Macaca fascicularis: one gene and its partner. The protein of the gene in region 1 binds, or shares a complex with, the protein of each later gene. Links are inferred from orthologs where the notes say so. Each region holds a gene or a part of one and is shown on either strand. Other genes may lie near its edges.

Evidence for each region. Proteins that work in one complex are often made in the same cells at the same time.
Region 2: NLRP5 (region 1) and KHDC3L share a complex: the UniProt entries of both Homo sapiens proteins name them as parts of the subcortical maternal complex. The link is inferred for Macaca fascicularis from reciprocal best matches to the Homo sapiens genes NLRP5 and KHDC3L.

Annotation. Positions count from the first base shown.
Region 1 is NC_088393.1:63,954,432-63,959,011, reverse strand, and holds the start of NLRP5 (NACHT, LRR and PYD domains-containing protein 5), read right to left. Parts: upstream 2,911-4,580; 5' UTR 2,878-2,910; intron 1-2,877. UniProt on the Homo sapiens protein: Component of the subcortical maternal complex (SCMC), a multiprotein complex that plays a key role in early embryonic development.
Region 2 is NC_088378.1:101,687,072-101,690,841, forward strand, and holds KHDC3L (KH domain-containing protein 3), read right to left. Parts: upstream 1,916-3,770; 5' UTR 1,844-1,915; coding exon 1,675-1,843; intron 1,489-1,674; coding exon 1,309-1,488; intron 1,034-1,308; coding exon 762-1,033; 3' UTR 596-761; downstream 1-595. UniProt on the Homo sapiens protein: Component of the subcortical maternal complex (SCMC), a multiprotein complex that plays a key role in early embryonic development.

The DNA.
Region 1 (4,580 bases):
CAACGTACCCTGCGTCCTTAAAAATGCACAAGGATCAGCACAGAAAGGTGCCCCACCTGTAAGGCTCTCAACACCACACACACGCGCACAACGCCTTTGGGTGAGGAGCAGAAAATAGGGAGGAGACACTAAGAGGGGCAGGGAAGGACACACTTCACACCACATCTTCTCGTATTGCTGCTTTCAAATTAATACTGAAAAAGGCTGGGCGCGGTGGCTCATGCCTGACATCCCAGAACTTTGGGAGCCTGAAGTGGGTGGATCACCTGGGTCAGGAGTTCGAGACCAGCGCTGCCAACATGGTGAAACCTAGTCTCTACTAAAAATACAAAAATTAGCCAGGCTTGGTTGTGGGCACCTGCAATCCCAGCTACTCAGGAGGCTGAGGCAGGAGAATCGCTTGAATCCGGGAGGTGAAGGTTGCAGTGAGCCGAGATTGTGCAACTGTACTCCAGCCTGGGTGACAGACGGAGACTCCATCTTAAAACACACACACACACACACACACACAAAAAAACCCAAATCACCAAATTAATACTAAAAAGTACCTCCCATTAAAAAATCATTTTAGTAGAAGCTAAGTAGACATAAAGGAATTTCACCAAAACAATAGAGGTATTCTTACCAGTACCCATTCATGGAAGGCCAAAAACCTAGGTACACGTGAACACTGATAGAACATTGAAGTTTATGTGCTGTGTTGCTCCAAATAGAACCATAGCAAGAAAATAAGCTTTTCTACACATTCCTATAAATATTTAGGGACCATGTTGGTCATTGGTAAACGGAAAAATACTTATTTCTGAGCACCTGTTTAAAAGCTAACATCCTAACCACAGAACAATTAACATTTTCTAGGTTTTCCTACCCCTTCTAAGTTAACAAAAAGCACCTGGATACATGGAAATTGAAAGCAAAACACACAAGACAAAGACTCTCAATGCAGGCAATGAAATTAAGAGGGGAAGGTTATTTAAGAGAGAATGAATTTCGGACTGTCATATGTCAACACTTCTATATATACATAATTTGAATTAAACATTTGCCTTACCACACTGCACAATCCTTTGAAGGGGCTGGAGGACCAAGAAGTGAACCAGGGCTGTCAAAACCAACAAAAACCTCAGGGGCGGGTAAGGAAATGAGTGTGGTCTGGGGACGGTGATTTTATTTTTAGGGTGAGGTGATTGAGCAAGTTCATACGTTCAGAGCTGAGAATAAAGGTAGAAGCAGCAAGATGACAAAGACTCTTGTCTATATCCTGCCTTAGGTGACTCAAAGCATTTCATTTCAACTTTATGTAGCAGATACAGTTTTTCTTCTTGACATGGAGTCTTGCTCTGTCGCCCAGGCTGAAGTGCAGTGGCGTGATCTCAGCTCACTGCAACCTCCACCTCCCAGGTTCAAGCAATTCTCCTGCCTCAGCCTCCCGAGCAGCTGGGATTACAGGTGTCCACCACACTCAGCTAATTTTTTTTTTTTTTCAGTAGAGGCGGAGTTTCACCATGTTGGCCAGGCAGGTCTCGAACTCCTGACCTCAGGTAATCTGCCCGCCTCTACCTCCCACAGTGCTGGGTTACAGGCGTGAGCCACCACGCCCGGCCTTACATGGCGTATTAATATACAAAGGGCATCGCCGTCCTCACTCCAGAGTTCGAAGCTGAGGTTCTGTGATGTTGACTGGGTTGCTCTGTTTTAGGGGAAGGTGCATTAATGCATACGGGATGATAACGCCCTGTATTTCCCTTGAACTGATTAATCAAGCCCCAGAGAAAGATGACTGGATGGTGTAGGGATTAATTTGGGATAGGCATGGTCACTTTCTCCTGAGTGAAGTCAGGTGGGTGAGGAGTTGGGGAGAAGTTTTTCAAGTCCAGGCAGGATTACAGCCGGAAGGAGGTAAAGGAAAGCTGCTGGTTGAGGTTATTTTCTGAGGATGAGTGACTTCCCTAAGCTCGCACTTTGTCGCTATGCTTTTTCTACAGACCGACCTCTCCCACCACACCTTTCTACGCAGGTGTCCTGAATGATAAGAAGCAGTTAAGATTACAGGGCTGGAAGTCTCAGACCCAGTTTTGAATATTGATTTGCCGCTTTCTGCCCCAGGCAAGACATTTAATTTCTCTGGGGCTCAGCTTCCTCCCTTGGTAAACAGGACAAACAACACTGTCAGAATTATACGGCATTTCAGTAACTAAGTTACAGTTAACATATTATTAGCACAATTAGCACCGTAACACCCCCCACCCCAGACTCCTACTAAATGCACACATTTGCTAACCCTGACATTCAAGTCGCAGTACCCCCACTCTGTATTCTATTTATTTTTGAGATGGAGTCTCACTCTGTCACCCAGTCTAGAGTGCAGTGGCGTGACCCTGGCTCACTGCAACCTCTGCCTCCTGGGTTCAAGCAATTCTCCTTCCTCAGCCTCCCTAGAAGGTGGGATTATAGGCGCCTGCCACCACGCCCGGCTCATTTTTGTATTTTTATTAGAGACAAGGATTTCACCATGTTGGCCAGGTTGGTCTTGAACTCCTGACCTCAGATGATCCACCTGCCTCGGCCTCCTGAAGTGCTGGGTTTACAGGTATGAGCCACTGTGCCCAGCCCTCTGTACTGTATTTTAGACCAAATGTCTGGAAAGGACGAGAGACTTACCTAAATATCCCAAGTAAATATGAGGTTTTAGGAGAAGATCTTTACAGCAAAATGGGGTAACTGGACTTTGTTCTTTCGAGGAACCCTTTGGTCCCGGGCTTTGAGCAGCCAAAAGGGAGAGGGTGGGGGCGCCTAGTAAGCTCAATATGCAAGTTCTAATCAGCAGTGGAGAACAAAAGCGGGAAGGACAAGGAGCAAGACAAGAGGAATACTCACCAACTTCACACCTCGCCTCCAAGAGCAGGTCCTGCGCTGGGCCAACTGGCAATCACAGAAAAAAGGCGGCCACGCCCAGCTCCGTGCCCACGAGGCGATAATCCTTGGGGAGCGCTGAGCCCGTGATGTTGCTGCTGCCTATTGGCAGCAACCGGCTCTGAACGACCAGCCCCAGGGAACAGGCACTTTTCTGCACCTGTGTGCACCATTTACAGGTGCTGCTGCTGCCAAGAGGCTGCCTTGCCCCCACACACCTGCGCTCAGGGTGCCCGGATGCTAACAGCCTTCAGCTGGCTGTCCCGGAGCAATTAGTGTATGTGTGTGTGTGTGTGTGTGAGAGAGAGAGAGACAGAGAGAGTGCATGTGTGTGGGAGAGAGTGTGTGAGAAAGAATGTGCAAGACAGAGACTGTGTGTATGAGAGAGAGACAGAGAGAGTGCATGTGTGTGAGAGAGTGTGTGTGAGAACGTGCAAAACAGAGACAGTGTGTGAGAGAGACAGAGAGTGCATGTGTGTGAGAGTGTGTGTGTGAAAGAATGTGCAACACAGAGACAGTGTGTGTGAGAGACAGAGAGAGTGCGTGTGTGAGAGTGTGTGTGTGAGAAAGAATGTGCAAGACAGAGACAGTGTGTGTGTGAGAGACAGAGAGAATGCATGTGTGTGTGTGAGAGTGTTCAAGACAGAGACAGTGTGTGAGAGAGAATGTGTGTGAGACAGTGTGTGTGCATGTGAGAGTGTGTGTGAGACAGAGTGTGAGAGACTGTGTGTGAGTGTGAGTGTGAGAGAGACAGTGTGTGAGAGAGGATGTGTGTGAGACAGTGTGTGTGCATGTGAGAGTGTGTGTGAGACAGAGTGTGAGAGACTGTGTGTGAGTGTGAGAGTGTGTGAGAGAGACAGTGTGTGAGAGAGGATGTGTGTGAGACAGTGTGTGTGAGAGACTGTGTGTGAGAGTGTGTGAGACTGTGTGTGTGAGAGAGTATGTGTGAGAGTGTGTTTGTGAGAGAGACAGAGTGTGTGTATGAGTGTGTGAGAGAGACAGTGTGTGTGTATGTGTGTGTGTGTGTGTGTTGGGTGCCCTTATTTTACACAATCCGGAAGTTGCACTTGGCTTTTTTGTGTGTGTGTATATTGACAAATTATAATTGTATATTCTCGTGGGGTCCAGTGTGATCTATGTACACAATGTCAAATGGTTAAATCAAGCTAACAAACACACATCTGTTGCCTTGAATACTTATTTTTTTTTGTGGTGAGAACACTTGAAATGTACTCCCTTAGCAATCTTGAAACAGAAGTTTATACTTTTGATAAAGTCCAATGTATTTAGTTTTAGTTTGTTTTGATGTGGACTCTTGCTCTGTGACCCAGGCTGGAGTGCTCAGTGCAAACTCCACCTCCCGGGTTCAAAGGATTCTCCTGCCTCAGCCTCCTGAATAGCTGGAACTACAGGTGTGCACCACCACGCCCGGCTAATTTTTGAATTTTTAGTAGAGAGGGTGTTTCACTATGTTGGCCAAACTGATCTCGAACTCCTGACGACAGGTGATCCACCAGCCTCGGCCTCCCAAAGCGCTGGGATTACAGGCATGAAATACTGTGCCTGGCCAAACGTGTTTGAAAATTCCATTTGAAGAATTTATGGTGAACGCATATTAAATTTATGGGCTCTCCTTAGGTCATGAATGTCTTCTGATTAGTTCACTT
Region 2 (3,770 bases), on another chromosome or scaffold:
TGTTCTGTGGCAGCGTCGCCATACACGCAGGGCCTTCCAAATCCAGCTGGCCCCCAAGCGACCCGGTTTTCTCATCCCAAGTCACCTTGAGTAGAACCACAGCGGGCTTGGAGAGGTTTCCTAGTGGGCCAGAGAAGCTTCTCACCTGTTAAAGCCAGATGCGCGCGGTTAAGGAGTACAAGTGGCACAGCGGACCACAGCCAGGGAAGATTGCGACCCCGGGCGGCTGGGAGCCAGAAGCCCCACCTGTCTCGAGGTAAAGAGCGGCGCAGGGCAGAACTGGGCTGTTGGAGGAATACGCCTTTCCCTCCCCTCTACCTTCCAAAATACAGACGTCAGGGAAATGCAATTGTTTATCAGAACTCAAGTTTGTGTTGACAACCACTCAACAGAAGGTGTAAAACAAAAACAATCCACGTCAACCTCCCCCGCCACCCCGGCTTCCTGGTCTAAAGTAGCGGGGGGCTTCCACTTTGCAATTATTTATTAGAACTCAGGTTTGTGTTTGCAGCCATTCAACAGAAGGGGTAAAAAAAACCAATCCACATCATCCACCCTTACCCCGGCTTCAGGGGCTGAAGTAGGGGGCGGCTTCTAGTTTGCAATTTTTTATTAGAACTCAAGTTTGTGTTTGCAACCATTCAACAGAAGGGGTAAAACAAAAAATCCACATCATCCTCCTCCCAACCGCAGCTTCTGGGCGAAGTACGGGCTTTCACTTTAACCCCTGACTGGCTCTGGCTCCAGGGCCCGAGATGCCTTCATAATCTGGTAACTGGGGCCCGGGTATCCTCGCGAAACCGCTGGGTCACTGCCTTGCTGGCAGCTTCGGGGGATCGCTGGGTCCCGGACTGGTTGGCAGCCTCGAGAGACTGCTGGGTCCCGGTCTCCCGCACCTCCACCGGAGAACCCTGTGTCCCGACCTCCCGGACCTCCACCGAACGCTGGGTCCCGGCCTCCCGGACTTCTGCTGAAGACAGCTGGATCTCGGCCTTCTTAGTGGCGACATCCTGGGCGAGGGCCTTTCCTGAGCCTGAAAGAAGAGCAGTGTGCGGAGGCCACAGCTGTGTCCCTATATCCTCTCCAAAAAAGGACAGTCACCCAAGCGGCCTGCGGGAGTAGGAACCAGGAATCCCAGAACGCGGGTTCACTTTGGCCTTCTGGATCCATGGCAACCGCCCCGTCTCCCACCCACTAACCGGGGGCAGACTGGGAGGGCGAGACTGCAGCCCCAGCAGCCAGGAAACCCCAGGATCACTCCTACGGAGCCAGGGTTTGCTCCAGGTAGCCCCATTCCCAGCCCCGTACCTTTCGCCTGGAGCTGTCGGTGATAGTCAGCCAAGTTCATGATCATCTTGATTGTGTCCTCCTGGTAAGAAGGCCTCCCAAATACCAAGATCTCAGCCTCGCCGTTAGGGTCCAACCGATTCACATGAATCAAGATTTGGGACATACCCTGGACGTGCGGGATGCGTTCTCGGTCCCTGCCTGCGCGGGTAGTAGAGAGGCTGTGAGGGTTGGGTGGCTCCCGGGGGTCTTGGGAGGGGAAAGTGGAAGGAGGAGACAGCCAGAGGGCATTGGCTACTGGGGAGGCTTGCCCTGGAACGCAGTGGGATGTGGGTGTGGGCGGCAGAAAGAAGCCGCATAGGGGCTGCCCCTCCTTGCTCCACTCACCGAAGATCTTTTCCACCAGCCAAACCTCCAGGCGAACTACCTTCGGATTCTTCAGGAACTCAGAGTGGAACCAGGAGAACCGCTTAGGAAGGTGACCAAGCACCTCGACTGGCATTGCTTTTGGCTGCATCAGTTGCACGAGCGTCGGAAACCGCCTGGGAGTGTCCATGCTGCGCCCGGTCCTGCAGGAGACAAGACCACCACAGCAAACCCAAAGGCCAAGCTGGAGCTAGGCGACTAGAACTGCGGTTTCGCCTGGGCCTTATTTAAAGTGCTTTTGGCCAGCCCCTCCTCTCCAACCGCGCCCTTCTCATTGGGTCCCAGGCCTCGCCTCCGCCTCCAGGAGCCCCGGCTTTTTCCGAGGCAGCGCAAGTGCACCGGTTCCTGCGTTGCTCTCAGTGTCTCTTCTGTCAGGAGCAGCCCTTTCCCCAGCGCACCCGGTAGGAGGAACCGGGCTCTGGGCACCAGGAATCCGCTGGTGCCCAGCGGGAGTCTTAACCATGGACTCAGGAAGGCGTGGACAAGCCCAGTATCTCTCCCAGAGGAAGGAACTGATACTTGCAGAATGAATACTTCATACGTCCCTCACTCGCTTCTGATCCCTGGCCACTACGTTTTCTCCCTCTGGCACCAGGTTTTCAGATTATTCTGTCACTTGCCTGAGACAGCTGAGTACAGAGCAGAATAAGCGCCCGCCTTTTTGTTTTGTTTTGTTTTGCTATAGGGTCTGTGTAGTGAGATTTGCATAGTAAAAAAAAGGGGGGGATAGAAAAAAAGTTATGGGGTCTGGCTATGTTGCCCAGGTTGGCTTTGAACTCCAGGGCTGAAAAAAATCCTCCCTCTTTAGCCTCCCCAGTGGTGGGACTATAAAGCGCTTTTAATTAATGCAGCAATGAACACACCTAACCACAGATGGTTCTCGTGGTTTGGACACCAGAGGAGATTCCTTGAAAATTTTTGACATCTCTGTTCTTTTTTATTTTTAATTTTTTAAATTGGAGACAGGATCTCTGTCACCCAGGCTAGAGGGCAGTGGTGTGATTATAGCTCACTGCAGCCTCCAACTCCTGGGCTCAAGAGATCCTCCCTCTTCAGCTGCCCCAGTAGCAGGGACTACAAGCCTCTGACACCATGCCCAGTGATGCCTCTGTTCTCTAAATAACACAATTATATTTGTCTCATCCTTCCTTTCCTTTCTCCTTTCCCTTTTCCTTTCCTTTCTTTTCCCCTTCTCTTTCTGACAAGGGTTCATTATGTTGCCCAAGCTGGTCTCAAGCAATCCTTCTGGCCTGGGCAAAATGATAAAACCCTATCGCTACAAAAAAAATACAAAAATTAGCTGGGCGAAGTTGCACACCCCTGTAGTCCCAGCTACTGGGAAGGCTGAGGTGGGACAATCACCTGATCCCAGAGAGGCTGAGGCTACAGTAAGCAGTGATGGTGCCTCTGCACTCCCCGCGGGGTGACAGAGTAAGACCCTGTCTCAAAAAATAATAATAACTGAGCCAGGTGCGGCGGCTCACGCCTGTAATCCTAGCACCTTGGGAGGCTGAGGCGGGTGGATCATGAGGTCAGGAGATCGAGACCATCCTGGCTAACACGGTGAAACTCCACCTCTACTAAAACAAAACAAAAAAAAAAAGTGTGAAAATAATAACTTTTAACTGTGTTGCTATAAGATAAATAATAATTTATAATTTATTTTTATTCAGTATTGAAACACTAAAGAGAACTTCAGGTTTGCCACATTAATAGACCAAATGTATATATTCAGGCCGCGCCCAGCCGGCCGAATATATTTAATATATAGGAATGATTTAGTAGTTGGGAAATTCTTACTTGCTAATTGAGACAATTAAAGTACTTTGCAAAACAACAAGAAAAAACAACCCCATTAAAAACTGGGCAAAGCCGGATGCGGTGGCTCACGCCAGCAGTTCTAGAGCAGCCTGGCCAACATGGCGAAATCCTTTCTCTACTAAAAATACAAAAATTAGCCAGGCGTGCTGACTGGCGCCTGTAATCCCAGCTACTCCGAAAGCTGAGGCATGAGAATCGCTTGAACGTGGGAGGCAGAGGTTGCAATGAGCCTGTAT